Oryzias latipes: one gene and its partners. The protein of the gene in region 6 purifies or fractionates together with the protein of the main gene of each other region. This does not show direct contact. Links are inferred from orthologs where the notes say so. Each region holds a gene or a part of one and is shown on either strand. Other genes may lie near its edges. The genes, in order: prpf19, rfc1, smarcal1, zufsp, rfwd3, rpa3 and top3a.

What was found.
Region 1: the proteins of rpa3 (region 6) and prpf19 purify together in Homo sapiens (affinity purification with western blotting; 3 studies listed by BioGRID, with this or other methods). This does not show direct contact. The link is inferred for Oryzias latipes from reciprocal best matches to the Homo sapiens genes RPA3 and PRPF19.
Region 2: the proteins of rpa3 (region 6) and rfc1 purify together in Homo sapiens (affinity purification with mass spectrometry; 3 studies listed by BioGRID and IntAct, with this or other methods). This does not show direct contact. The link is inferred for Oryzias latipes from reciprocal best matches to the Homo sapiens genes RPA3 and RFC1.
Region 3: the proteins of rpa3 (region 6) and smarcal1 purify together in Homo sapiens (affinity purification with mass spectrometry; 3 studies listed by BioGRID and IntAct, with this or other methods). This does not show direct contact. The link is inferred for Oryzias latipes from reciprocal best matches to the Homo sapiens genes RPA3 and SMARCAL1.
Region 4: the proteins of rpa3 (region 6) and zufsp purify together in Homo sapiens (affinity purification with western blotting; 3 studies listed by BioGRID, with this or other methods). This does not show direct contact. The link is inferred for Oryzias latipes from reciprocal best matches to the Homo sapiens genes RPA3 and ZUP1.
Region 5: the proteins of rpa3 (region 6) and rfwd3 purify together in Homo sapiens (affinity purification with mass spectrometry; 5 studies listed by BioGRID and IntAct, with this or other methods). This does not show direct contact. The link is inferred for Oryzias latipes from reciprocal best matches to the Homo sapiens genes RPA3 and RFWD3.
Region 7: the proteins of rpa3 (region 6) and top3a purify together in Homo sapiens (affinity purification with mass spectrometry; 3 studies listed by BioGRID and IntAct, with this or other methods). This does not show direct contact. The link is inferred for Oryzias latipes from reciprocal best matches to the Homo sapiens genes RPA3 and TOP3A.

What each region holds. Positions count from the first base shown.
Region 1 is NC_019868.2:15,898,566-15,902,517, forward strand, and holds the start of prpf19 (pre-mRNA-processing factor 19), read right to left. Parts: upstream 2,801-3,952; 5' UTR 2,637-2,800; coding exon 2,618-2,636; intron 2,401-2,617; coding exon 2,251-2,400; intron 1,345-2,250; coding exon 1,268-1,344; intron 1,004-1,267; coding exon 862-1,003; intron 746-861; coding exon 672-745; intron 570-671; coding exon 504-569; intron 402-503; coding exon 360-401; intron 270-359; coding exon 195-269; intron 107-194; coding exon 31-106; intron 1-30. Other genes in the region: uncharacterized protein LOC101174031, read right to left, coding at 3,498-3,713, 3,822-3,920. UniProt on the Homo sapiens protein: Ubiquitin-protein ligase which is a core component of several complexes mainly involved pre-mRNA splicing and DNA repair. Required for pre-mRNA splicing as component of the spliceosome.
Region 2 is NC_019859.2:13,023,696-13,027,934, forward strand, and holds the start of rfc1 (replication factor C subunit 1), read right to left. Parts: upstream 2,801-4,239; 5' UTR 2,674-2,800; coding exon 2,671-2,673; intron 2,314-2,670; coding exon 2,197-2,313; intron 2,102-2,196; coding exon 2,026-2,101; intron 1,264-2,025; coding exon 1,150-1,263; intron 1,068-1,149; coding exon 793-1,067; intron 695-792; coding exon 620-694; intron 1-619. UniProt on the Homo sapiens protein: Subunit of the replication factor C (RFC) complex which acts during elongation of primed DNA templates by DNA polymerases delta and epsilon, and is necessary for ATP-dependent loading of proliferating cell nuclear antigen (PCNA) onto primed DNA.
Region 3 is NC_019879.2:19,986,593-19,990,757, forward strand, and holds the start of smarcal1 (SWI/SNF-related matrix-associated actin-dependent regulator of chromatin subfamily A-like protein 1), read left to right. Parts: upstream 1-1,365; 5' UTR 1,366-1,786; coding exon 1,787-2,098; intron 2,099-2,170; coding exon 2,171-2,492; intron 2,493-3,506; coding exon 3,507-3,557; intron 3,558-3,652; coding exon 3,653-3,907; intron 3,908-3,984; coding exon 3,985-4,035; intron 4,036-4,116; coding exon 4,117-4,165. UniProt on the Homo sapiens protein: ATP-dependent annealing helicase that binds selectively to fork DNA relative to ssDNA or dsDNA and catalyzes the rewinding of the stably unwound DNA. Rewinds single-stranded DNA bubbles that are stably bound by replication protein A (RPA).
Region 4 is NC_019874.2:5,464,977-5,467,324, forward strand, and holds the end of zufsp (zinc finger with UFM1-specific peptidase domain protein), read right to left. Parts: intron 1,798-2,348; coding exon 1,632-1,797; intron 1,556-1,631; coding exon 1,395-1,555; intron 905-1,394; coding exon 699-904; intron 635-698; coding exon 587-634; 3' UTR 501-586; downstream 1-500. UniProt on the Homo sapiens protein: Deubiquitinase with endodeubiquitinase activity that specifically interacts with and cleaves 'Lys-63'-linked long polyubiquitin chains. Shows only weak activity against 'Lys-11' and 'Lys-48'-linked chains.
Region 5 is NC_019864.2:6,590,144-6,594,078, forward strand, and holds the start of rfwd3 (E3 ubiquitin-protein ligase RFWD3), read left to right. Parts: upstream 1-1,135; 5' UTR 1,136-1,595; coding exon 1,596-1,672; intron 1,673-3,935. UniProt on the Homo sapiens protein: E3 ubiquitin-protein ligase required for the repair of DNA interstrand cross-links (ICL) in response to DNA damage. Plays a key role in RPA-mediated DNA damage signaling and repair.
Region 6 is NC_019869.2:20,979,314-20,983,392, reverse strand, and holds rpa3 (replication protein A 14 kDa subunit), read left to right. Parts: upstream 1-1,405; 5' UTR 1,406-1,543; coding exon 1,544-1,642; intron 1,643-1,718; coding exon 1,719-1,793; intron 1,794-3,163; coding exon 3,164-3,275; intron 3,276-3,352; coding exon 3,353-3,435; 3' UTR 3,436-3,579; downstream 3,580-4,079. UniProt on the Homo sapiens protein: As part of the heterotrimeric replication protein A complex (RPA/RP-A), binds and stabilizes single-stranded DNA intermediates that form during DNA replication or upon DNA stress.
Region 7 is NC_019866.2:19,317,472-19,320,971, reverse strand, and holds part of top3a (DNA topoisomerase 3-alpha), read right to left. Parts: coding exon 3,372-3,500; intron 3,280-3,371; coding exon 3,109-3,279; intron 3,018-3,108; coding exon 2,917-3,017; intron 1,104-2,916; coding exon 1,029-1,103; intron 910-1,028; coding exon 827-909; intron 751-826; coding exon 540-750; intron 366-539; coding exon 180-365; intron 82-179; coding exon 1-81. UniProt on the Homo sapiens protein: Releases the supercoiling and torsional tension of DNA introduced during the DNA replication and transcription by transiently cleaving and rejoining one strand of the DNA duplex.

The DNA of each region.
Region 1 (3,952 bases), on a different chromosome or scaffold from region 6:
TAAATCAACATTAAAATAATGACACTTTACCTGTGAGCACTTTGTTGGTGTCAGAGGGACACACATCCAGAGCCAGAATACCAGGCACACTGGCACTATGCAGACCCTACAGGAAATATCAAAGTCACACCACAAATATGAAGCAATCCAAACAAAAAGTTACATCCTCTGGATTCTCCAGAATCTCTTCTTACAGCGTGGGAAGCAACTTGGCGGTACTTGCTGAGATCTTCAGCTCTGACCAAATCCTCTGGAACAGTTTTTCCTCTCTGTAGATAAAAAAAAAACACAGGGTGAACTGGGCGCTACCAAGACAGATAAAGACTCCACAAACTGTTAGGTTGTAGTCAATACTGCACCTTCTTTCTCTCTGTGGTGAGGATGGTCGCCTTGTCTTGAAGCTGCAAACACACAACAACAGTCAAATAGACCAAAGGAACAAAATCTTTCTACAAACAAACTTTACAAAGTAGAATGGTTTTTAAAACTAAAGAAAGCCGTACCTTCTGAATGATCTCTGGGGTCATTCCCACCTGTTCACTGATCTCCATGGGTTCTCCACCAGCACCCTGAAACACAATATTGACAGTTATTAGACAGATGAGTTATGAAAGTCAATACAAAGCCTTTTTTTTAAAGGAAAATAATTCAATAAATAAATCAAATTTTACTGCAGCAGCTGGCTGAGAGGCAGGGACTGCTTGAGGGGCCACCAGTCCAGCTTGGGGTTTAAGTGTAGCAAGAGCTGGAAAAAAAGACAAACAAATGAGCCAATTAGACAACCCCAATTATGAATAAACAAAACACACTCTTCATTCAAAATCACTTTGTAAGATAGCATTTGACGCAAACTTCACTGACCTTCTCTTGCAGCAGTGACCTCTTTGTTGAGGCGGGCGATGACTCTGCAGGCGGCATCGTGCTGGTAAAGGGCATGAGAGAGTTCTTGGCGAGTCGTCTGCAGCTGCTGCCTCAAGGTGAAACTATGAAGCATCACAGCATCCTAATTCACAAAAGAAAATGGGTCAGGTTACTTTTACCAGAGAATCTCTCAAAATCCACTTCGGGTCGTTTTGAAAAGCGGATTCCAGAAGGAACCCATCACATCAAACGCAGATCATGACGTTTTGTTTGACCAAAACACATTCTTCATTAAATAATGACAATTCCACTGACAAGATATGATCCCATTCTGCCACAATTGTAAAAATGAACTGTTATTCATATTTTAATGACTAAAAACATTGTATACGTTGATGCTACTTACCCACTCGTCTTGAAGTGACTTGAGAATGGCAGGAATGCTAGTAGCAGATGGAGCCTTTGGTCGAATAGGATGAGTAACTACAAAGAAATTAAAGCAGACATTTTCTAAAGCCGTATAGAATCACTGTATCCACATTAGGTTTTCTTATCATGCAAAATCAACTTTTTGAGCTTTAAGTGAATCATAATGTTAAGCCCTCAAGAAAAACGACCCCAAAGCCATATTTTGATCCATTGACGAAGCTCTGAGCATTCCTCTAAACCCAGACCCCCCAAACCACCTTTTATATGCACAATACATCCATCTTTACAAGTTTGGATTTTGTTTGTTTTTGTGGGCGAAACGCAGACACACTGGCGAGGCCAGCTCTAAGTTAACAAAATGAAATGGGCGGCAACCACAAGGAAGGAGCGAAAGCCAGTGCCTCAGAGATCGAAAGTCTTACCTCCAGGTAGGAAAAGGAGCTGAAATAACTAATATTTCATAAATAATTTGTTCTTTAGTGTTCCAAAGGTAATATATGTCATTTATATGGATATAGTTTACTCTGAAATGCTTAAGAAAAGCATGATTATAGGCCCACTAATTAAGTGTTGCAAATATACTACAACAATATTTTTAGGTTAGGCGTGTGTGTCAGTGTATTAGTTTTTGTTTTTTTACTATAGATATTTAATAAATATGTTATTATGACCTTCTCTATTTTTTAAAAACAACAAAAAAGTACTTTTCCCCCCCACACCATTTGTTACTGCTGTTTTTTGATCAACTTTCTGGCATTTTTTTTTAAATACTTTGTGAAAAATTGTTTTTCCAATAGTTTTGGTTTCATAAATTCGTTGTTTCTTTGCTTAATTTTCTTATATATTTATTTAAATTTTGTAAATTGACGTGCTTTAGAGATGCAATATGTTATGAATGATATTTGCTTTTTAAGACGAAGGTCTTGAACCTGCGCCATTATAGGCTGATGTGTCGTTTACCTTTGATATCCACAAGCTGCTCCTCGGACAGGGGCTGTCCGTTCATCGGGTCCGTCCCATTCTCAGCGATGTACTTCTCTATCAGTCTGCGCTCGAACACATGGTTGGACACCGGAGAGATGCACGGGTGCTCTGGAACCTCGTTGCAGACTGAAATAAAGGTGTGGCAACCGCTTGAAAGACTATTCTAAATCAGTAAATTCTTTTTTAAAAAGTAAATAAAAGCAACAAACATAAAATGAACGGAAGCAATTCCATATAAAAGGCGGCATTGATGGCCGCTAACTGCTACATTAGCTAGTTACTAGTAGCATTTGCGTGGCGCCTCGCTAAACACACACATTTCAAAGGTTTTCACTTAGCTTACTTGCACAAACCAGAGACATGTTCCCAACGCTGTGTAAATAGTCTCCTCTGGAAAGTAATATATGCTTACTCCAACCTTGTGTTTCGCTAGTGTGCACCGATAATGACTGAATTGAAACTAAGAAAAGCTATGCCCTTTCATAGCCTCAATAAAATGAGCCAGCTTCTTCTTCTTCGTGAAATGTCTGCTAAACGCAATTCGAACGTTGTCTCCACACTGCCCCCTAGTGCTTAAAATGAACAATGCGTTGGATTACTGTGTCTAGCAGGAAACTAGTAATCTGAAACTAAAAATTGGATTACGTGTGTTTAGATAAAACGGATTTATTGTTTACCACGTGTTTATTTTAAATTTTTGTTATAGAAATATTTTATGTTTTGTTCATGAAGTTCAAAGGTTAGCAGACCAAATGGAAAAGCACATTTCACAGCACTTTACAGTTGCATTGAGTTGAAAGGAATGACACCTGCAACAAATACTACACTGTTACAGATAAGATCATAACTAATTCAATAATTGTTGTTTGGGTTATAAATGTATTAACACTGTGGAAGAATGTTTAAGTGAGTATGAAATATATATATTTAGTGTCAATACTCTATGCAGCTCTAGAAATAATACAACACTTGCAAACAGGGTGACACTCAGTAAACACAGTGCAGATAACAGTGGCCCTGAGGGTCTGGAGGTAGGTAACAGCAAGAGATCTTAAGAGTACAATCCACCACTGCAACATGAGACAGAAAATGCAATGCTAAATTCATGCATCCAAAGATTATGTTTACCAAAATATTTTGAACTGTAACTTGCATTGAGTAATGTCCTTCACTGTTATTTGTTCATTCTATAATGTCCTTCTTTTCTCATTTTGGCACCTGTTTTATAAAAAGTCCAGTTTCTCTGACGTGTAAACGCTGCAGGATTCAGAGGTGTCTGTGTCCAGTGGCAATGTTGAAAAGAACTCTGAGCTCCACCTTTTTTCATCTCCATCCTTCTTAATCTGGTACTGAGCGCAGTCCTCAGAGGAGTGGAGGCAGTCTGTTGCTCCAGGCACAGGAAAGGAAATCTTCTCTTCATTCTCATTCACTTTGTTCTCCTAGAGGGAATTCAGGGGGTGGGGGGTGGGGGGGGGGGGCACATGGGTAGTTTTTATTTCTTTTGATTTTATGTCAACATGAGCCAAAAAAGGCTGACAGAGTTTTACCTCAGTGCTTCTGTCATGCCTGGGCGAGACCCCAGCTGTCCGTTGCTGTACTTGCTGGTTTTCAGAACTTGGTTCCCCTATCGTGACAGGAGTGTAATCCTAGAAATGAAACCCACATGTTCAAACACTCA
Region 2 (4,239 bases), on a different chromosome or scaffold from region 6:
GTTCTACTATCAGACACGGTTGTATTTTTTCACATAACTTACATGTTTCGACAGATGTCTTCTGTCTTTGTCAGAGTCGCTATTTATGTTTTCTATTCATTTTTCTGTTCCATTTGTTCTGTTTTCTTACACTTTTTTTTATTCCAGTCCTTTTCCTCATTGGGATCTTCTACACCTGAGGTGTTGGACTCGAGCCCTCGAGGGCCGGCAACCTGTTGTTCAGAAACCCTGAAATGCCTGTTGCCATGGTTACCTGAATCAGGTTTGTTTTGCCAATTAAAAGCTACAACGGCAGCTTGGATGAAAAAACAAGTAGGACACTGGTTAATGAGGCCTGGAGTCTATACCCGTGGTATCATTTGGAGTGAAGCTCTATGACGTTTCACATTTGATGTTTGGAGCCTTTTCAGCTGCTTTTGTATGAAAAGGATTTTATAAATAAAGCTTGATTGGAAGTGTTGGAAATCGAAAAGATAGAGTTTCAAACCTAGAGGAAGTCTGTGTTTTGATCCGAGCACTTTCTTTAGAGTGAACTCTAGGAGTAAACTTAGTGTACAGATTCCTGAATCACTAACTTCTGCTTCTGTTTTTACGCCGGAGTGTTTGATGATCTGCTCACCTCCATCTCTTCTTCCACCTGCAACTGTCGGGCGATTTCCTCATCACTTATCAGATCCTCAAAGTCTTGTGTTGGCTGGAAGACAGGAGTTATAGTGAAGCTGGATTGTTGTAAAACAAATGAGAGTCCTGAAAGCTGGAGGAGAAGAATGAGGAGGATTCATCAGCACTCACAGCTTTTCTCTTGGCGCTGGCTACCAGCTTCTTTTCTGAGCGATGAATAGCAGCACCGCCGAAATAATCCGCCACTGAGGTAGGAGTTAGTTTGGGTGGAGGTGGTGCAACAGACTTGGGGGTTGTGGGACTCTTTAGCCCAGATTTTCCTGTGACAGGAGAGGCTTTGGATCCTGAGCGAGAACGTTCTGCGTCCGCCTTATTGCTTTTAGGAGAACCGTTCTGTTTGGGTTTGGCTCCTTTCTTCAGCGACTGAAAGTTGTCGCTGTCCGAGTCTAAAAGCACAAAAACAGACGTCAGAAAATCGGCTTTTTAGCTTATTGAATCTGGAGGACGTTGGATGAAGAAAGGCCTCACCTGTTTCAGAGACGTACTGCACTGGGTCTTTTTTAGGAAGAGGCTCTGCTTTGCTGCTCGTCGATTTAGAAGATTTCTTAGACTTTGTTGCAGGTTTCTCCTCTTCTTCTGAATCTGAACAAAACAACAAGAATTTATCCTTCAAGCTTTTTAAAAATAGGATCTGAAATAATATTTACCTTTTAGCTGTTTTAAGTCAAGGATTCACAATTTCCTTTGACACTAAAATAAAATGTTGATTTTATGAAGGAACTTCATACCTTCTTTAAAGGTAAGTAAATCATAATAGGGCTGTGATTGTATAAATTCTGCCTTTAAAGCTATTTTAAACTATTATTTAATAATCCTATTTAATGTGTCATGTGTGTCATACTGTATGCATACGTGCAACTATGTTTATTTATGATTAGGAGTAATTATAATGTCAAGACAATAGCATAATCTTCTTTTATTTTCTAATGAACTTGTGGTTTGGTAGGTAGGTTTGGTATAACTATGTATGTTTATTTCTGCTTGATGCTTCCTGCATCACATATGAACCTCTCAGCCAGCCTCTCACTTTTTCTTTGACATTATTATATAGTGATGCTGAGAGACACTGCACCACTCAAAGACATATTACACTCGTTGTTCACCTTTTGACACATCCTGTCAGAGGTCGCTGCTGCGAATCAGCTTTCACTGAGTCACACATTTGGTTTGGCAGAGACTTTTTTTTAGGCCGGATGCCCTTCCTGACACAACCCTGTATTTTATCCGGGCTGGGGACCAGCACAGGGAGACCTGGAGTTGGCCCCCCATCCAGTGCTGTTAAATCACAGAGGTCATCTCGTGACTTTAAGCCACGCCCATTAGGTCATCCAGAGTCTTTCCTACCTGATGCTATGACAGAATACTTCTTGCGCTTTTTCTCACTGTCTTTGCGTCGCTCCTCTGTTTTGGAGCTTTTGACCTACATGAGATAACACAAGAGAAGCTCAAAATCCCAAACATGTGCAGGAACAGCACTTAGTGTAGAAGTAAAAATGAAAACACAAGAGTATCAACCTTGGTTCTTTTCACATCAGAGGAGTTGAGGTTCTTCTTCTCCTCTGCTTTGGTGTTTGGCGCTGGTTTCTGCACCGCAGGTTTCCCTGATGTCGGTCCAAAGAACCGCCTTATATCCTGAATGCAGAAGCAAAGGAACTTTGAGGCTATTTTAACAAATCAATAATCTGTACTTCAGTGTGCAAAAAAAAAATCCCTGCATCTCTTCAAGGATTAATTAAATTTAAACTACAAATGTGCGGATTTAATTATTAAAACATCCGGTAAATTATAGCTGCTGTGCAATAACCTGTTCCTATATTAAAATAAAAAATGTAGGTCAACAAGTCAATTGTCTTAAAACTGTTTTAGCTAACCCACAGCAGAAGCGCGCGACAACATCTGCTTAGCATCCAGTTTCTCCTCAATGTCAGACTTTGCTCACATGCGTTCGCTTTCTGTGTGAGGTGGAAACCATAACGGTGTGTAACATACCATGTTGGAGATAATTCCACAAGGAAACCTCACAGTTTGTTATCAGCAAAATAATAAAAACTCCCAACTACTTGGCGCCAAGTCTGCAGTCGCTAGGAGATGACGCACCGGATGCTGGCTGCGTCACTGCGTCATCCAACCAGCGTCTTGAGAAATTCATCACACATACATTTAAAATCATTTTAGACAAAACTTCTCATTTGAATATAAACGTCTTTCTGCCGCTAAAAAGATAATTTAAGTGGTTTTCTAGCTACATCTTAGTTGATAAATGATCTGCACCAAGTTAACTTTAAAGATTTATTTAAAAAAAGTAAAAATGCTTTTGACATTTTCATGTGTAGTAAAGCTTGTTTTCCCTTTCTTTTAAAGTGCCTCATAAACAGTTTCTCACTTTTATTTTCAGTCCAGTCAATACAAATCTCTCCTCACAAATAAGCCTGCGTATACTTTCTATTGTGTATTTATAATTCAGCTTTACACTAGAATAAATATAAAGTTTGAAAACGGTACAATAGAAAAATTATGTCCAGAATATTAGGAGGCAAGATAAACAATTCATTGACATGGCTGGCCTCTAAATTGAAGACATTTTTAGCTGTTTACAGAGGATTGTCAGATAATTTTTTTTTTTTGAAAGATAAAGGCCAATTTGAACACTTTTACAAAAAACATTCAACAATTCCTTCAGTATGTGTGACTAATTTTATACCTCTGACCAAACTTTACCACATTTTAGTTCAGATCACAACTGTTGTCTTTAATAAAGCTTTCATTAGATGTCGGCAACAAACGGAGCTCAGCTACTTTCAGATAAACAGCCTTAAATTAGGACTAAAATGGGCAGATGATGGAACTGCTCCACTTTGCTTCAGTGGATGACAGTCGAGATCACAAAACAGAAAGCTGGACAATTTATTTTAACCATAAAATGTATTTGTCACATTTCCGTCTGTCCAACATTTACAAAGACAACTCCATCTTATAACCAAAGGTTAATGTAAAATAAGACAGAAAATGTTTAAAATGACTTGATCCATGTAAATGATGCATGACGGAAACCAGTTTTCCCCCAAAGTTTTTGTGAAAATCATTCAATTTAAAGCTGTCCTTATATTTTGATAAATAATCCCTCACCTGCTTCTTTTATACTGTCACACTGATGAGTTTCTCAATACTCTCATTTTATGTCTTTAGGAACTTTGGATCAAAGCCGAGTCCAGTTTTCTGCTAAAACCTTCTTGATGACTTAAACCTTAAATGCACAGCTTTCTCTAATCAAGCAAAGAACAATTACACAGACAACAAGAGATCAATCGAGCTGGAAAAAGGTTATTTTATTGGTCATAGCAGAATCTGAACATTTATTCACTGGCTGACTCCACCACAGTGGTCCTTTCGCTCACATAGATGCCGTCCAAGAACTTCCTGATGTCCTTCTTCCTCACTGTGGTGGCCTGCTGGATCAAAGCCGCTGCAAAGAGAGAAACAACAAGCGGAGAGCAGAGCGTGAGAACGGGAGCTGTGAGCGGCATGCAGGCCGTGTCTGTGTGGGAGTAACTTCCAGTA
Region 3 (4,165 bases), on a different chromosome or scaffold from region 6:
CAAGTCATTACTACAAATGTGGGCAAACACAAAGCAACATCGGGGGGTCATTTGATTTAAAAAAAAAAATTGCAAAATCTGTAAATTAGCAGTTAAATATAAATACTTTTGCAAATGCTTTACATTTGAAACGCATTTTTTCCCGGCAGCACATGAGATATACATCTTCACAATTGATCATCTGTGAGCTGTTTATAATATTGAAAACTATAACAAACAAACATTTTTTTTCATTATTCATTCTTGTCTTATCATTATCTAGGTTCATCATTATTTCAGACATTAAATAATTAATCAATTTATTTATTAATAAACAAACATGAGTAAAAATGCAATCTGATTTTGTATTTGATAGATCCATTGACGATTTAGTCCGATTTAGTCCATTACTGTAAAAAATAAAGAAATTATATATATATATATATATATATATATATATATATATATATATATATATATATATATATATATATATATATATATATATATATATATATATATATATATATATATATATATATATATATATATATATATATATATATATATATTAAGATAGATGTATTTAGATAGTGTAACAAACTACTTCATTAAAACTTGATTAACTTTAATTAAAATGACAAATAGTGGAAATATTTTTTGAATGTTTGATTTATTAATCATAGAAAACACTTCTGCTGATAAATTAATCTAGTGATCTGAATTGGGCTATTAGTTAAGTTTGTCATGTTTTTCAAAATTTAGCTGGAAGGAATGTAATTTTAATCAAATTACCTTTAAGGACAGCTCAGCATTGTACAATAATTGATAAGTATCAAATTTTCACCATGTTGGAAAGCAACCCCCCCCCCCCACCCCTTTTTTTGTTTTTGTTTAAAGTGAACTACAGTTTTATAAAGAGTTAAATTAAATGGTTTAGACTATTAAAATCAGGAGCAGAACTGCCAGAATGATTTCAGATTTAAAAAAAAAGGCTAATGAACAAAGAAGCATTAAAAATTGATGTAAAGTCAGCAAAAACATCTGCTGATTTCCAAAATAGTCGAAATTCAGAATTCCCCATGGGTCCTTTAACCAAAGATGCAAAGTTATATCTTTGTATTTCATTCTTATAAGGAATAAATATCCAGAAATAGTAGTAAGAGAATATGTCATGTAAGAAACACAATAACCTTCTAAAACAGTAAAAGCAGTAACTTAAAAAAAGTTTTCTTTTTTAATAACAGAAGCTTTCAAATACTAAATTACATAAAAATGATTAATTAGCATTAGCAATCAAAAATTATTTTTTCTTTTAATTGTGTTGTTAGATGTCAAAAGTTTTTTTTATATTTTAATATTATTTTTATGTTGGTAGCTGACAAAAAGGGTCTTTGCAGCGCTCACTACTTCCACGTGACGTTTTGTTTTTCTGCGTCACTTCCTGCGCGGCAGATCCTGAACTAAAGTTTTCCCTGTTAGCTTTCCGTTAGCTCCTTTTTACGCCCCATAAGTCGCCTGTTGCACGTTTAAGTATTCATATAAAATGTACGAACAAAAACAGTCTTTGGATTACATCGTTTAAAACAAACGCTGACTGTAGTCTTCAGTTTCTCGTCGTAGTTCAGCATAATCGTTGATTAGCTAAAGGATCTAGCTTCTTTAGCAGCAGGAGTTTGTGTTTTTGAGCGTGAAAGCGTTTACACTCGTGGATCTTCATGAACTGCAGTTTTCCAATCATGTCCAATCGGTTGTGAGTGTGTCAAGCCGTCATCTGAAGTAGCTCCCAGCAGCCAAGTCCCTCAACATGTCCAATCAGCTGACTGCTGAGCAGCAGCGAAAGATCGAGGAGAACAGACGGAAAGCTTTGGAGCGGAGAGCAGAAAGACTCGGACAAACTGTCAGCAGCACGAAGCAGCCTCCGGCGGGCTCCAGCACTGGGCCAGGACACGCGCAGGCCAAAAAACCAAGTGCCCCCCTCCACCCTGCTGGACCTGATGATCACAGTGGAGCCCCGGCTCCCAAACACTTTGCTCCATCTTTCCAAAAGGTGCAGCAGAACTTCAGCAACCAGATCCCAAGTTCAGGTGGTCAGGGCAACTTTGGCTCATCAAAACAGGCGAGTTTTGTATTCAAATCAATTTCTTGAGAAGAAAATTAATTTTTTACCATAGCTTTGATCTTATTGTAGATAAAAGTCCCTGGTCCAGTTTCTCAGACAAACCAACATGCGAAGAACGTCCTGCCTGCTGGAGGACAACTCAATGCCAACACAACAAAGTCCCCCTCCTGCAGCTCTGGAGGTGCACTCGGGTCCTTCTACAATCAAGTCAGCAAACCTGCACAAGCTCCCCCAGCAAAGTTCACCCCCTCCACCTCTGCCCCTATGAAAAAGCCTGCCGTCTCTGTCAGAGGAAAATGTGTTCTTCATTCAGAGAACCGCTTCAGAGTGGAAGTGGGCTACCATGCAGAGCTAATAGCTGTTTTCAAATCCATGCCCTCAAAGAATTATGGTAAGCGCTGCACCTCCTTCACTCATAACTGATGCAGAATTTAGATCAGACAATGAAAGGTTTGATCTTTATCTCATGCAAATTAGCGTTATTTGTTTCAGTCGTCTGTCAGTAAGAAATGTTAAAGTCCCGTTCTGCTCGTCTTTTGAACTGTGCTCCTTTAATTATGGTTATGCTGCTTTTAGTCAAAGTCAAATTACCTAGGACATAGTTTCTGCAGAGCGGCAGTAATTCATTAAAACTTCGCTTCTGAGCTGTGAGCGGGACTGTTGGTGCGAAGTAAGCCCGTCCCTACTTCCCATCATCCATCTGTTTACATGCTTTGCTGCTAGCTTCGTCTGCAAGCAGATGCATCAGAATAGAGCAGAGCTGGGAGCCTGTGGCCTGCCGTTGTAGCTTAGCTGGGCCTGCACGATAAATCGCAAATTTATTGTTATCGCAAGATCAAGCTGTGCAATACGTATATTGCAAAAGACAGAGTAAATTGCAATATATGGTTACCTGCAAGCTGCCATAAGATTGCTAAATGGACGCCTTCACGTTGTTGATCAATCGGATGGAGCTCTTTCATGTTAGATGTTGGCCTCCTATGTAGACTAGGGGTCAAGTCTTATTTAAATTAAACTGTTGCAGCAAAATACAAATGATGTTTTTGGTTGTTTTGCTATTTGTTCATGTATCGCAATTTATATCGTCATCGCAAAATTGATCACTAATATCGCAAATTGCGAGTTTTCCCTACTTCTACTTCACAACTACAAGCTTTTTCTAATGGCATTTTTTTTGTCTGCTCCCGAGTCACAACAATTTCAAAAAAGAAATACTTATTAATGCAATTTTAAGATTCATTTTCTATGTAAATAACCTCCATCATCAGAAAAATATCACGAAAACATGTTAGAAACACCAACCAAATTTTTCATTAATCTCTGTTACCTTTTTTTTTTCTTGTTCAATTATTATGCTTGTGTTTGTGCTTTTATTTTGAAATGACACAATCTTTTGTTGCCTTAGATCCAACTACAAAAACATGGAACTTTAGTCTGGATGACTACAGACAGCTAAGTATGCCAACAAACTGCCAGAAACAGGGTTTTATTGTTTTAAGTAAACTTAAAGGAATCATTAGCACTGTTTGCATCTTTCTTCTCATCCTGCAGTGGAGGAAGCAGCTGCCATTGCCTCAGTGTCTTTGAGGCCTCTGGAGGGAATGGAGGCGGTCAACAGTGGAGCCGTCCAGCCTCGTGACGGTGCGGCGCTAACGGCGCTGCTGAAACTGTGCAATGGTTGGCAGAAACCTGGAGCCGCTATAAAAGGACAGTGCATCCTGGTGTCTCGGACAAGGTTTGAGGTTGACATCCTTTACCATGCCGACGTCATTGGAGCATTTAAACAAATGCCTACTAAAAGCTACGGTAACAAACGCGCACTTATGAAGTTTCCTAGCTGTGCTGTTTGTGTTTTTTTTACTTGTCTTTTTCTTTTCTTGTAGATATGAACACTAGAAAGTGGAGCTTCTCGCTCACAGACTATGGAGGACTCCGTGAGTAACACAGCTGTTTAAATATTGAGCTCCCTCATCTTCGATACCATCTTGTCTAACGGTGCTGTGTTCCGTGCTCAGTGGATCTCATCAGTGGGATAGCAGCAGTGGAGGTGGAGCCTCTACCCAG
Region 4 (2,348 bases), on a different chromosome or scaffold from region 6:
TCTTTAATGCCACACCCGGAATTTGTCAGCAAAGGACAAGTGCTCACCGTCACAGATTTGTGATCAATATTTGAGGAAAATGGTTATTTTGTGTTTGTAGAAAATGTTTCAGATCTTTGAGTTCATTTCTTGACAAATTGGAGCAAAATCAAAAGTGTTAAGTTTATGTTTTTGCTAAGTGTGAGTAAAAACATGTTGCATTTATTCTTGTTGTCTGACAGTTATGAAATAAAGTTTTTGGATTTATTCATTGCAACTTACTGAAATGATGCAAACTGTGAAATTTGATACATTTATAAGCATTTGACTTTTTTTACATGATAAACATGCGGCTCATCTATAATCCTGAAAACCTTGTCTGTCTGCTAGAACATAGTCTTTAGAGCAACAAAGTTTGCTAAATAAAACTTAATTTTTTTGTCTTTTAGTTTCTCTTTACTGCGGATATTTTTTGGGTTAAAAAAGGAAATCCTTTTAAAGGTCCTTATGACACAGCAGACACTTTTGTATGGAAAGCATTTATTATAAAACATCTAAAACCAAATTATGAAGACTGTGATCAGTAAAAAGATGCTTGGAGAGCCTCTCATGGGATCTTCTCTGCACAGAGAGTCCTGGAGTTGAAGACAGCAGCCTGGACAGAGACAGAGCAGTTTCAGGATCAAACAGGTGATGGCGGATGTGCGCTGCCAGCGTACCTGTTTGTCCTCTGCAGACAGCACCCCCTGCACCGCCAGCAGCTGATACTGTTTGTGCTTCAGGCTGCTGGGGAACTTCCTGATGTGGCGAATCGCCACGGAAACCGCATCAGTGCTTAGTGACAGCTTCGATCCGGGATCCATAACGAGAAGGGCCAGGGCGCCGCTTTTCCTCTGCTCCACGCCGACAACCAAGCGGCTGTGACCTGCAGACAGAGCAGGAAGCTGAAGGGATGGAACCACTAATCAGACAAATTAACCCAAATATAGCACCAAAGTGGACACACCGAAACTCCTCAATTAATTCGAGAAACCACGACGGCATCTCTTGCGATCACCGATGGCAACCGCGAGCAAAAGACGAAGACAGCCTGACCTGTAGACAACTAACTTTTCACACGGCAGCAGACGTGCTGACAGGAATTCCACAGTCAGAGTTGTTCTGATCTCCAGCCAACAGCTGTAATTACCCAATATGGGCATAAAGCCCCCACCCTAAAGTGTAAGAGCTCTGGTGAACATCAAACATCTCTGGTGTTCAGAGGAAAAAGACGCTAAAATAAAAGGTATGAACAACACTGTTACCATGGCAACCATGACTTCACAACTGAATTACCAAATGTGGTGACAAATTTTCAAAGGAGTTTTTTTTATGTAAATAAGCCTCTGCTGGAACACACTCCCCCATCCATTTACCTTGGTGCTGAAGGTAAAGTGGGGGCAGGCTGGTTCGGATGACCTTGGGGGGCAGTCTGTTGCTCTGGCTGGACTGAAGGAAGTACTGTCTGACCCAGTCAAACAGCCGGGGATGGGTGTCCCCGGGGCCCGTAGGCTGGTGGAAGTCAATGATGCGTGCTCTGGAGGTAAACACCGCGATGATGCTCATGAGCAACAATTCATTGCCTACACATGGAGCAAGAGCTGCCGTCCCACCTGACACCCAGCCAGGTGAGCAACACGTAGATCTCTGTGGCCCCGATCCAGGCCCGTGTTCCCTGCAGGCGGTGGTTGAAGTGGGATGCTCCTTGTGGATCCACACCTGCTTTCCAGGCCTCTTCTATCATTCTCTGGACCTGTGGGATAGAAGGAACTGCCTTTTCTGGCCGAGCAAAAAGACATCAGTGGATTTGGAGAAACTCAACAATAACATTAATATTTATTAGCACACATGAAAACCTCAGTTTATTGGTTTAGGTTGTCAGTTATGTGCTTTCTCTCATTTAGGAAATGTTATCTTAAGGCTACGTGACGTCACTCAGCCACTGTGTACATTTTCCACGTATGAAATTTTAGTCTTGCGTGATTTACGGAATTCAAAAGTGTTTCTTGTGTTAGTTATCTGTCGATGTGCTCAGATGTCTGTCGAGGGTTTAGGATCTTTACATGATTTCCGGACTTTTAGTCTATTGAGAATTATGCAGGTTATGCATGTTTTACGTAGTTTATCCGCAATTGTTATGTAAATCTTATGCAATTGTGTGTGGTTTTTGGGATACACAAATTTGTGGCTATGTCTAACAGACTTTTAACGCATGAACCACCGATGTATAACTTTTATCTCCCGTATACGGCGTACGTTTCGCATTCAAATTACGTAACTGACGCACAAATCACAGCCCAATAATCACACACGGTTCATGTTCTGTGTCA
Region 5 (3,935 bases), on a different chromosome or scaffold from region 6:
AGGTTTTCCACAATGTCATGATCTTTTCATTTATTTATGGGAGATTTATTCGTTGATTGTACAAGTTCATATTAATTTTTTTTAATTTTGAACAACTTGGGGCTCCTTAGTCACAGGGCTAACTGTAAGGGCAGAGAAAAGGCTGCCGATGATGAGGCGAGCCTCGCCAGCAGGGGGCAGACGTGAGCTGCCAGATGCTTTGTAGCTACACTGGTGCAATCTTTCTCCAGCACAGCATAGACTCACTAAACTAAAGGAAAATAAGGAAGACTTTTCAAACAGACCATAGAGCTTTTTGTGGAGAAGGATCGGTGCTTGTACTCAAAAAGTAAGGCCAAACATGGTTTTCAATTTTGTTTTGTTTTTTAAATAACATGGGAGTAAGTGGGGGGAAAAATTAAGTATTTGAAAACTAAATTTTAGGCCTAAAATAATTATTTTTATGATCATTTTCACAGACAACATTTGATAACTGATTAAAGCACCAGAAACTGAAGTTGGAAAAATACCAGAAATAGTCACTGAGGGTCAAAATGAAATGTATGCTGAGCACATCTGTCTCTACTTTGATTTGTTTACAGTATATATGAATAATTTATACACAAGAAGAGTTTTCAACCCATTTCTATTAAAATATATATCTCTGTAGGACAAATGTGTTCTTGTGTGTATCGTATAAGCTGTTTACTGCTGTTGGATGAATGGTGAAATGTTCAGTTCTGTCAATTGTAAATCTGACTCCAGAGGAGTCGGGGCCTCACCGCACGTCTCAGTGTTGTGTGTTTGTGTGTTGTGGTAACCTTTTTTGGGGGGAGTGGGGAGTCATGCAAACAACTAACGATCTTCGTCGGTCACGTGACCGTGAGATGGGCGGGCAGAGCGTGCTGTAGCCGGGAGATTCGACTCCACACGGCGGCCACTACAGTCCGAGCTTTTACTCAGCGAACTGCTCAATCATCTCGGCCTTTACCGGACCACCATGACGGCGCTCCGTGTGCTCCTTGGAAGAGGGACCGGCAGCCGCTGAACGCGCACAGGTTGGTGGCTTAACTTCCGGAGGTTTAGCCGTCAAGTTAACCGCCGCCGACTCGTTAGCTGCTAATAAGCTAACGGATTGAAATGTAACCGCGATGTGGGCGCCTCCTTGACCTGGAACCATTGGTGTCCGCATGCAGCTCTGACTAAAAACTCTGGAATCAAATATATCCGGTGTTTTTGGTGGGGGTCTGTGGCATTTTCGTAGTTAACCGTTCAGAGCTAACGGAGACCTTCGATCGGGTTTATGGAATGTGTTAGCTCGGTTATCTGTCCTCCCCCGGTTACTATTAGTTTTCACTCGGAGAAGCCGAAGCGAGAAACAAACAAACAAAAAAAGATGAAGCGGAAGCGCCCGGTGAACTGTTTCCGTTAGAGGCCTGTGCGACCTCGGTCTGGAGTATATGCTTAGCCGAACCGCGGCGCTCGTGTGCGGAATGGATCGACCGAAGCTGCCGTAAACACGAGCAGACTGACGGACACTCACGCTCTGGGGATCGGCAGGTTACAGTTGCTGGTCGGATTGCCTTGTCGGAGGTTTTTGACCCCCAACAAATGTCATGACGTCCATCAGGAGTCTTTCAGCTGCCTGGAGAGGGCATTGTCTCACTGCTGTGCTGTTTGTGTGCAGAGGAAGGTGAAGTATATCGAGAAGATGAACTCGAATAACAGCAGCATTACCTCAGAAGAAAATGACTCATAAAGCAGTAGTTAACAGTAGTCCAAAGAAACAGTAGACCAAAGAAAAATTCACCTGAACCTAGATATAGGTCCTTACAAAATCTTCTTTTTGGAGCTTTTAAGTGTATTATTGATTGATTTCATTTATTGATTTATTTCAAAGCATTGATTTGATTTGATTTATTGATTATAATTAGGGCAGCACGATATGAGGAAAACTTGCGATATTAGTGATCAATATTGCGATGACGATATAACTTGCGATAAATGAACAAATAGCAAAAACAACAAAAACATTACCATTTTACTGCTAATGTTTAAGTTAAATAAGAGTCAAAGTACCTTATATTATTCTCCAAATGACCCTCGCGATGACGATAAATTTGCGATTAATTGTGCAGGCCTAATTATAATGTTTATTCCTCTCAAAGAAAAACCATAAAGTAGTCCGCCCTCCAGGTCAACACTATTGACAGTAAATGAGAACTGCACGAAACAATCCTTCTCCTCCCTCACATTCCAAACAGGAAGTACCCAAAAAGCTGAAGGCCTTCTAACATGCTCATTCCTGATTGGAGAGAGTGGTTGCCATTGAACAGTTGGACGAACCAATCACGGCTTACCGATGACGCCTGGTTCCAACATGGTGGCGACTAAATTTACTTCATTTGGTTACAACCGGAAGCAAGGCATTTTCTATGGCGGTGTTTTTCAACCTTCTTTGAGCCACAGCACACTTTAACTTTGTCAGAAAATCCCGCAGCACACCAGCATCCAAAAAAAAAGGAGAAACTCATAGTCTGTATTGATCTACAGCCCCTCTGCAATCTCACATGCATTTTTGTGATAATTGTGGCAGAAAAAGCTGGAAGTTGCAGCTGTTTTTTTCTAAAAGATGTAATAAAAGTTAAGTTAGAAGGTTTAAAAACTGTTTGTGTGTTCGTTGTGGTTTCAAGACGTTAAGAGGAGAGGCTCATTGTGCGCTGAGACGCTGTCACTTTAACCAAATGCATCATGGGAGATGTAGTGCAAACAGCCGCTGAACGCAAACAGATTCGCGTCTCTGAGCTTCATTGTTTTGTTCACTTGTTCCATGGTCCGATACCGGATTCTGTGGAAAGCTACACCACTAAAGACGAGCTTTAGCTGGTATTTTTGTTGGAACTGAGAGACTTTATGAGCAGAATCGGAACAAGGAAGTGAAGACTTTAACCACTTCTGATTGGTCAGACTGATGACGTGTGATTAAGCCTCCAAGAATGATTGGTGGAGAAAGGGGCGGGACTTTTCAGAAAACAGAGCTGAAGCTGAGCTTCCCACGGCACACCTGACCATCTCCCATGGCACACTGGTTGAAAAACACTGATCTATGGGTTAGGGTTAGGTATTATACAGTCAGTGGCTAACACACGAACACTTTCTCCGTGGAGCTGGTGGGGATCGGCAAAAACTCTTTCCTTTATATGCTCAATATGCACAGCCATTTTTGGAAACATTTGGATTTTGTTTGTTTTCATGGGCGAAACACCACACGCTGCTGATGCTGACTCTAGGATGACATCATGAAATGGGCGGCACCCACAAGGAGAGATAGGCGGAGCTTCAGAGATCGAGTCATTTTGCTTCCGGGTTGGAAAATATGGAAGCATTTGTGTCTCATAATTCAAAATAAGTCATTACCAGAAATGCTTTTTAATTCTCACAATGAAGCTGCGTTTGTTGTCGTAAAACTTAAATTAAAAATCAATCATCCAAAATGCCTTTTCATTTTCTCCTTCAACACCGCTCTTTCTGTGACATAATTAACGCGATAATGCAAAGAGAGGATTGCCTTTTTCGTTTTCACATCCACCCGCAAAAACTGTCGCATAAATCATTTCCAGTCAGCATTTCCAGGGGGAGGCGGGGCGATGTCTTCTTCTTCTTCTGTCACTACCGCACGTGTTGGCTGCTGGAAAAAGAGGGACAAAGCAAGAGTAGAAGAATGTGGACCAAGAGATTGTCAAAAGCTGGCAAATTTAGCATGGTGACATCTGTGCTAGAGCTGTTGAGGGAGGCTGCAGCTATCCTTCAACAACAGGAGACAATCTTCTAAATGTGCTTTTATTATTGCTATGATTATTATTAAGGGCCTGTCTGCTCATAGTTTTTTTTAATCCGTGTAGCCAGTGCTTTATTCTTGGCTGAACGGACCCGGAAGATGGGTTAGGATGAGGCCA
Region 6 (4,079 bases):
ACTGCACTGATTCAAAAGGAAACTAGAAAAAGTAAATCTATCTAAAAATGTTTAATCATTTTTGTTGCTACAGAAATGACAAACTATCGGGGGAAAAAAGTGCGCTTACCGCCAGAGCCTGCTAAACATTAATGACATCTAATGACTATCTAAGTCTAAGTCATCTAAGTTGTGATGCCAACTTAACTATGCATACAAGATAAGACAAGATATGAACAATAGGAGTCAGACATAAGAAAAAGTAAGTGTTAAAAAAACTGAACTTGGTTATTTTTGTTTCTACAAAGGGGAAAAAACATAAACCAAAAAAAAATTAGGATTGTATCTGGTGTTTCCTAATGAGTTATTTCATGAGGCTGTGTGTCAAAAGCATTTAATAGTGTTTAAAATGTAATAATTGTCTGATTAAAAGAGTTTAATCCTTTAATCAAAAGAAAAATGTTTTATGCTGTTTTGTAGTTTTGGATCGTTGAAGTCTCTGTGAGCAATAAATATGGATGTCTAGAAATGAAAATATAAATTTAAAAAACTAGAAGAAACAGCAGAAGATACAATCAGGATTCTGGTATTTGCAGTTTTTGCTTGTGTGAGGAGACAGGGGGAATTTAATTAGGGCTAAATTTAAAGGTTTTTGGGATGAAGATCCTAAAAACCTGGAACATGGAACTTTTAAAACAATAGACAAACAACTGTTCAATTTTAGCATGACCAGAACAGCAATTGAGAAGATCAAAGGTGCAAAGAGTCATGATGTGGATTTACTGTCGGATGAAAATAACAGAATTCAGGGCTGCAGCTGAAAACAAAAATTAAAACAGAGAAAAAATACTTATTTATTGCAAATAGAAGAACTAGTGGGAAATCTGTTGACAATGAAGTGAAAACAGCAAGATTCTGATGTGTAATATTCTTAATAATCATTTGTTTTGGAGGATGTTTGACAGATGTTGGATTTTGCAGGTGATACAGACATTTACATCCTACTGATGAAGCAACACCAATGCATGAAAACACTTAAAGGATAGTATATTCAAAAAACTCCCAGGCTCTTAAGCTCACCATGGTCTCCCAGAAATGATCGTTTACAAAAAAATATCTTTATTTATTGCTTATAATTGTTATTCTTACTATTTTGCAAATGTACATCTTTTTTCACAAAAGAGGTAATCACACTAACTAAGATCTAGCCTGTCCCTTCATGATAAATAACAGAGAAGGGAAGATTTCGAGATTACATTTTCGATTTCAAGCAACACAAACGTTTAAACGTGTTGTATTGAATCCGTTCAGACAGTAGGTGGCGGTAAAAACACCAATGAAGGCCTAATCTCCCTGAAACCGCTTAGATGAAGAAGGAGGAGGCGTGTACCTAGAAACTAGGCGTTTGTTTTACTCACCGTGTTCTTTTTTTGCTTCAACAAATTCCACCGGTTTTTTAAGCCCACTGTTCGTCTCCACCCGCGTTACAACGCCCGGTGTAAAAACAAAAGACTCCCAGGCTTCCCGCGCCCAGCTGCTTCAGTCTCGTGTCTGTGGCGGGAAGATGGCAGGAATCATAGATGTTCCGAAACCCCGAATTAACTGCTCAATGCTGCTGCAGCACATCAACCAGGCGGTCTGCTTCGTGTGCCGGGTGTCTAAGGTCGGTTTCGTTCGAGTCCTGTGGGGTTTGGTGGTGACAGGCGTTTCAGTTACCGAGTTTTTACTTTGTGTTGTAGGTTCATCCCTCCGGGAAGACGTTCACGGCGGTGGACGGAGAGGGGAAGACGGTGACCGTGGAGCTCAACTGCTGTGTGAGTACGCGCACACACAGCAGCCCCGTGCTGCTGGGACTCCCGTCCAGTTCCTGTTGGTCCATAGGCTGATATTGGATGTTTAAGACATTGATTGTGTAAAGTAAACCTGTTTTTCGCATTTTTAAACAACTTTTAACTTCGTAGTGACTTTACCTTCCTAAGAAAAAGAAAAAAAACTCTCACGACATGACTGTCTCCAAACTACGTTTCGGAATGACTTAATTTGACAACATGTACTTTATTAAAAAGACAAATTGGCAAATGGCAAAATTAAATTAATGTTTTTTAGTGTGTTTTTGTATGATTTATCTAATCGTTTTGCTTATCTTTGTGTTTGCATCGGTGAGCATTCTTATTCCCAAAAGTATTAAACCTCACTGCCTGCGGAAGTCCCGCCCACAAACTATAACGCGCATGTCTGACAGTTCTAAGGTACTTCCTGTTCCATGAAACATTTGAATGTTTTTGCTAGATAGATCACTGAACAAATGAAATATTATTTAAGACTGTCTGATACACAAATGCATATGTCTTTTTTGTTGTTGTTGATTCATGAGAAATTAAATCAGAAAATATGTTTTTCATGTATTTATAAAAAAGATGTTATAAATTTAATTCTTAATCTAAATTAAATACTGAAATACTTAAATACTGAAAAAAATCTACAATTATATTTCTAGTTGTATTTATTATATTTTGCTTTTAGATTTCTCATAATTCATCAATTAATCACGATGGATGGACGGAGTAGTTTGGGTTCATGTTCTTTATGCAATATAATTTTTTTTTTGCTAAGTTTTAATAAAATCGGAATAGATAAAGTTATAAAGTTACATTCATCCTATCTGTATTATTTAGGAAGTAGTGCTACATTTGCTGATTCCAATTGCCAAAAGCCTCCCACTGCTGAGAGATTTCTTTCTTTCTTTTTTATGTTTACATTTGTTTTTCTTTTCTTTTTTTGCGTGTCATCTTAAAGTTGTGAAAGATCTTAAAAATAATGAACACAAAGGAATTCTTAAAAGGCCTAAAGTCTTTTCTTCTAAAGACTTTAGGTATATATTTCGACAATTTTGAGTCTGCACCCACAGAAACTAAACTGAAATCATGCTTTTTTTTCTTAAGGTGGTGGACTGATCTTTTGTTTTTGTGTAAAGTTCCATCAACTACAGAGATATTGTGAGTGCGCTTTAGGTCCGGTTTATACTTCAAAAGGGTTTGTAATCGCTGGCGTCCCTGTGGTCGCACGGCTATTGAAGCGAAATTGCCACAGTCGCTGTAAAATAGTACCCCTGCTGGTGACGTCAAACTCTGTCAGAAAAAAAATGTCTTTTTAGCACTGAAAGGGGGTGAAAACTTGTTTCCAGCTGGAGGAGGAGCTGAGCGGCGTGGTGGAGGTGATCGGATTAGTGTCCAACAAAGGAGTCCTGATGGCCGCCACATACAACCTGCTGCGAGAAGACCGCGGCACCCCCTTTGGTGGGAGTCCAGTGAAGCTCTGCTAACTCTCCAGGAAATAGTCGGCGTCCCTAACTGTCTCTGTGTCTGTCCGGCAGATTTGGAGCTGTACAACGAAGCCCTGAAGGTCATTCATGACTTCCCCCAGCACTACCCGTTCGAGGCCGCCGTCAGCGGCTGAGCCGATGCCGTGGCTCTGACCCTGCCAGAACTCATGTAAAATATTGTTAAATTAAATTTTAGTTAATATCCAGAATAATGTGTCACTGTTTTTGGAAAAACATTCATTCTTTTCCTTGGTTAATAAAGTTTTTGTTTTCTGTAATTTCTCGTGTTTTTGATCTTTTAGTTTGAAATAAAGAAGCTACAATTTTGCTTTTTTTAGCAGCAAAGAGGCAGGTAAACAAAAGTGATCAACTGAGGATTCTTTTATCACATAAGACAGCCAATCAGAGGCAGCGGGGAGCAGGTTTTCACACAAAGTGAGCATGAGTCATCAGCTGGTGTTGTTGTTGGTGAGGAAATTTTTTGACCTTTAGCGAACTACAAAACAGAAATGGGGGGAAAAATGGAGATCTGTCCAGGAAATAGACTTTTTCCTTTGAACAACTATTCTACAGAGCTCCTTTCATCATCACGTTTGTGTTCAAGCAGAGATGCAGCCACATGTCAGTCTAACGTCAACTTAGTAACACATGATCCTATTTTATCTGTCAGCAGGCATCGTTTATCTGTTACCTCCACCTGATGAAGTCCTTGAGAATAGAAAAATTAACCAGAGCGGTCAGCAGGGGGCAGTGTGAGTTGAGAAGCTCTAGATAGACA
Region 7 (3,500 bases), on a different chromosome or scaffold from region 6:
CTGCGGTGGACTCGTCTGTCCGTCTACCATCTCAATAGCAGAGGGCTGGAACTGAGAGTCTTCTTCATACACCGGAATCACCTGCAGCACACACGTGGCAGCGAGTACACAATAAAAACAGATTGTCGTGAAGATTAAGAAACTTGCAGTGAACTGTCAAGAGTTCGGTCTGTTTGTACCTTTGCGTTCCATTTGTCGTACGGATAAACATCCAGGTAGTTCCTGGCTATAATCATGAGTCCGGAGGTAGAGAACTTCTCTTGAGCAATGTCTATGTCCACCACAGTCTCCTGCCCCAAAGCATCCTGGGACACACAGGCCAGGAAGTGTCGAACAATAAACTCGTAGACACGAGCTTCATTTCCCTGGAGCGGAAGGAGACAGTTAATGTTAAAGTAATCGTGTTTACCATTCATGAAGAACTTATCAACTCAATAAACAAAACAAAAAAACTTCATATTTCCTTTAAAAAAATAGTTTTTTCTTAAAATGGAATTGAAATATTAAATAAAAGCATATTTTGACTCCTTACAACCCACCTGCAGAGAGCTAGTGTACTTAGTGGGGTGTATGGGAGGGTGGGCCTGGTCCGATTTTTTGCCCTGCCTTGGGTTGGGCCCCCCAGGCTGGTCAAGCACCCGCTGGGCAAATGTCCCCCACGTTGAGCTGTGAGTTTGCTGCTCCACCAGGGGCGCCAGGACCAAGTTTGCAGGAAAAATGTTGGTTTCTGTGCGAGGATAGCTGATAAACCTGAGCAGAAACACAACGGTCTCAGGGAACAGTCTGGGCTCGAACGCACGGCTTGTTCAGAGGTTGAGACGCTCACCCTTGGGTGTAGAGCTTTTCGGCAATCTTCATGGTCTCTTTGGCGTTTATTCTGAGTTTCCGAGAAGCCAGTTTCTCCAGCTCCTGCAGGTTAGGCAAAGGTAAAAGACTTGTGATGTTGAAATAAATCCACAACAAAAACATTTATTTTTCAACAACAAACTTTGACAGCATGAAAAAGTATTTTGGTTTCATCCTTTTACCACAGTGTCCAGAGGCAGCGGTCTCCATTTACTCTTTGGTTTGCTTGTTACTGAGGTGACTGTTGCTATGGGATCCTGGAAATGAATAAAATCATTTTCTCATTTCAAATATGGCTTTTAGACCCTTTCATTCACTCTAATAGCTTCCAGTCAGAGTCATGTCAGCTGCAGCAGCACACGGCTGGCAAGAACAAGGAGCTTTTTAAAGAGGAGAAACTACAGCTGGATTTGCAGCATTATTGGACTCAAAAAATGTAATCATTTATTTGCAGAACGCCAAAGTAATCCCTACATGAGTTTATATCTGAGACTAAAATGGAAAAGCATGATGTTAAATGTTTACCTATGACAAATGTCTCTTTTCTTTCTTTTTTTTTTAAACCATTTTAAGGGATGGGATTCATGCAAAACACAGAGTTAACTTATTTCACAATGTGTTTTGTGTTCACTTTGAATAAATCTATACAGTTTTCATTTAAAACCAATTTTGTTTAAGAAAAAGTCTTATCAAATAAGTGATTGAAGCAAAAAAAAAAAATCAGAGATTTATATTTAAAAATGGTGAATTCTTACATAAACTGTTAGCGCAGTGTCTGAAAAAAAACAGCAATTTGTTTATTTAAAGAAAAAGATCAATTTCAGTTTTTGATGAGTAAATACTGCATTTTATAAGTAAAGTTAAGTTTAGTTTTAGTCAAATCATTTTGAAACCTGATCTAGGTGGCTGATGCTGTAATGGATGAGAAAATATCTGGCAACAACAGCTGCTGTAACATTCGAGATGTTTGATGTCCGCCGTTTCAGAAACCATCATCTTCAGGCCTGTCAGAACACACGACCTGAATCTGCTCCCTGACTCACTTTCTGCCACACAGGACAGTGAAAATGAGAGACCGATAGATCCAGAACACTACAGCGTGTCTATGAATGAAAGTCACTAAGGCACCAAAGTCTCTACTCGTCAGAAAAGAAGCCACAAAAAGGAAATAAGAGTTTAAAAACCATGTTCAAGTATAAACCATGGATATTACAAAGACAGAAACCATTTCTGGGTAAAAATATAATTCTGATAAATAAGTTTGAATGACGGCGCTGCACGGTGGTGCAGTGGTTAGCGCGCTCTTGCCTCACATTAAGAAGGCCCCTTGTTCAAGTCCCGGCTGCACTTAATGTTCATTTCAGTCATAGCCGTTTAAAAATGTACCCAAAATATACGAAAAGACAAGACATCCCATTTGAAAAGTCTCCCATTTTTAAAAATAAACAAACAATAAAAACATTTATTTTTCGTCAAGCTCAACCACAAAGCTTATTGGTTTAGTATTTGTTTGTTTGTTTATTTAAGACACGGAGAGCACATTTCAAGGTGTGACATTTAAAAATGCAAACATCCAACAATAATTATATTGGGCTAATATCCATCTTTAGTCCCTATGTCCAGATTATTCGTGAGAGTTTGAACAAAACTATAGTTAGAAATGATTTTGTTTTGTTTCTTTTAGGAAAATTGGCAAAAATCTCTAAGTAAATTCAGAGAGGATTACGTTGCCTTAAACAGTGCTTCTTAGTATCGTAAAACCAAAAAAATCTTATCCGAAATATGACATTTTTCAGACAAAGATGATGACAAAAGCATTTTCATTTCTGTTTCTGTTTCTTTGTTGGGAAAAGATCAGAATGTTGGTGAGCATCTGAACAGCATTGAAGTTAAAGCATCAAGACCAGTGAGTAAAATACCAGGTGCAATAAAGGCCGCGTTTTCTTACCAAGACCCATTAAAATCATTCAGGTTTACAGAGTTTCATCACAAACATATTCCAGCAGATTAAAAGGTTGAACACACATAGTCGTGCAAAAATTCATGCAAGGTGCTTTCAGAAAGTCGTACCTCCATGCAGATCTGGTAGAGCACCAGGCAGCACGTGTGGTTAAAGAGCCGGTTTCGTTTCCAACTGAACTCCACGGTGTCGTCCTCTAGTGTGTGTAGCACTGCCACAAGGAGACACGTGTAAAACTGGGGGGACTGAACAGAGCCCTGCAGGCTTGTGTTTGGAGATGTTTTTATTTTTATTTTTGTTACCTTTGATTTTGTAGAAGGTCTCTGGTATAAAAGCTTTGATGGCTTTGAAGCGTTCCACCACAAAGCCCAGAGTGGGAAATTGACAGCTGCCATATGAGACGAGCTGGTTGGCCAAGGATTCTGGGAAAATCTTCTGCAGGCGGAGCGTCTGGAATCGGGTGAAGGATGCACCTGCAGAAAGTGACGTCAATGACTTTGTCTTCACAAACAGCCACGAAAGGCAGCAAAAGAACCTCTTTTTTTTTTTTTCTCAGTCCCCTTACCTATCCGTAAATCCAGCTCCTGTCTCACATCCACGGCATCACTGATGTTTGCATCTGGCTCTATTAGAGTCTCACACGCTCTCCGAATGGAAGCCGGTGTGATCTCAGAAAACTTTGCTCGGAAGACTT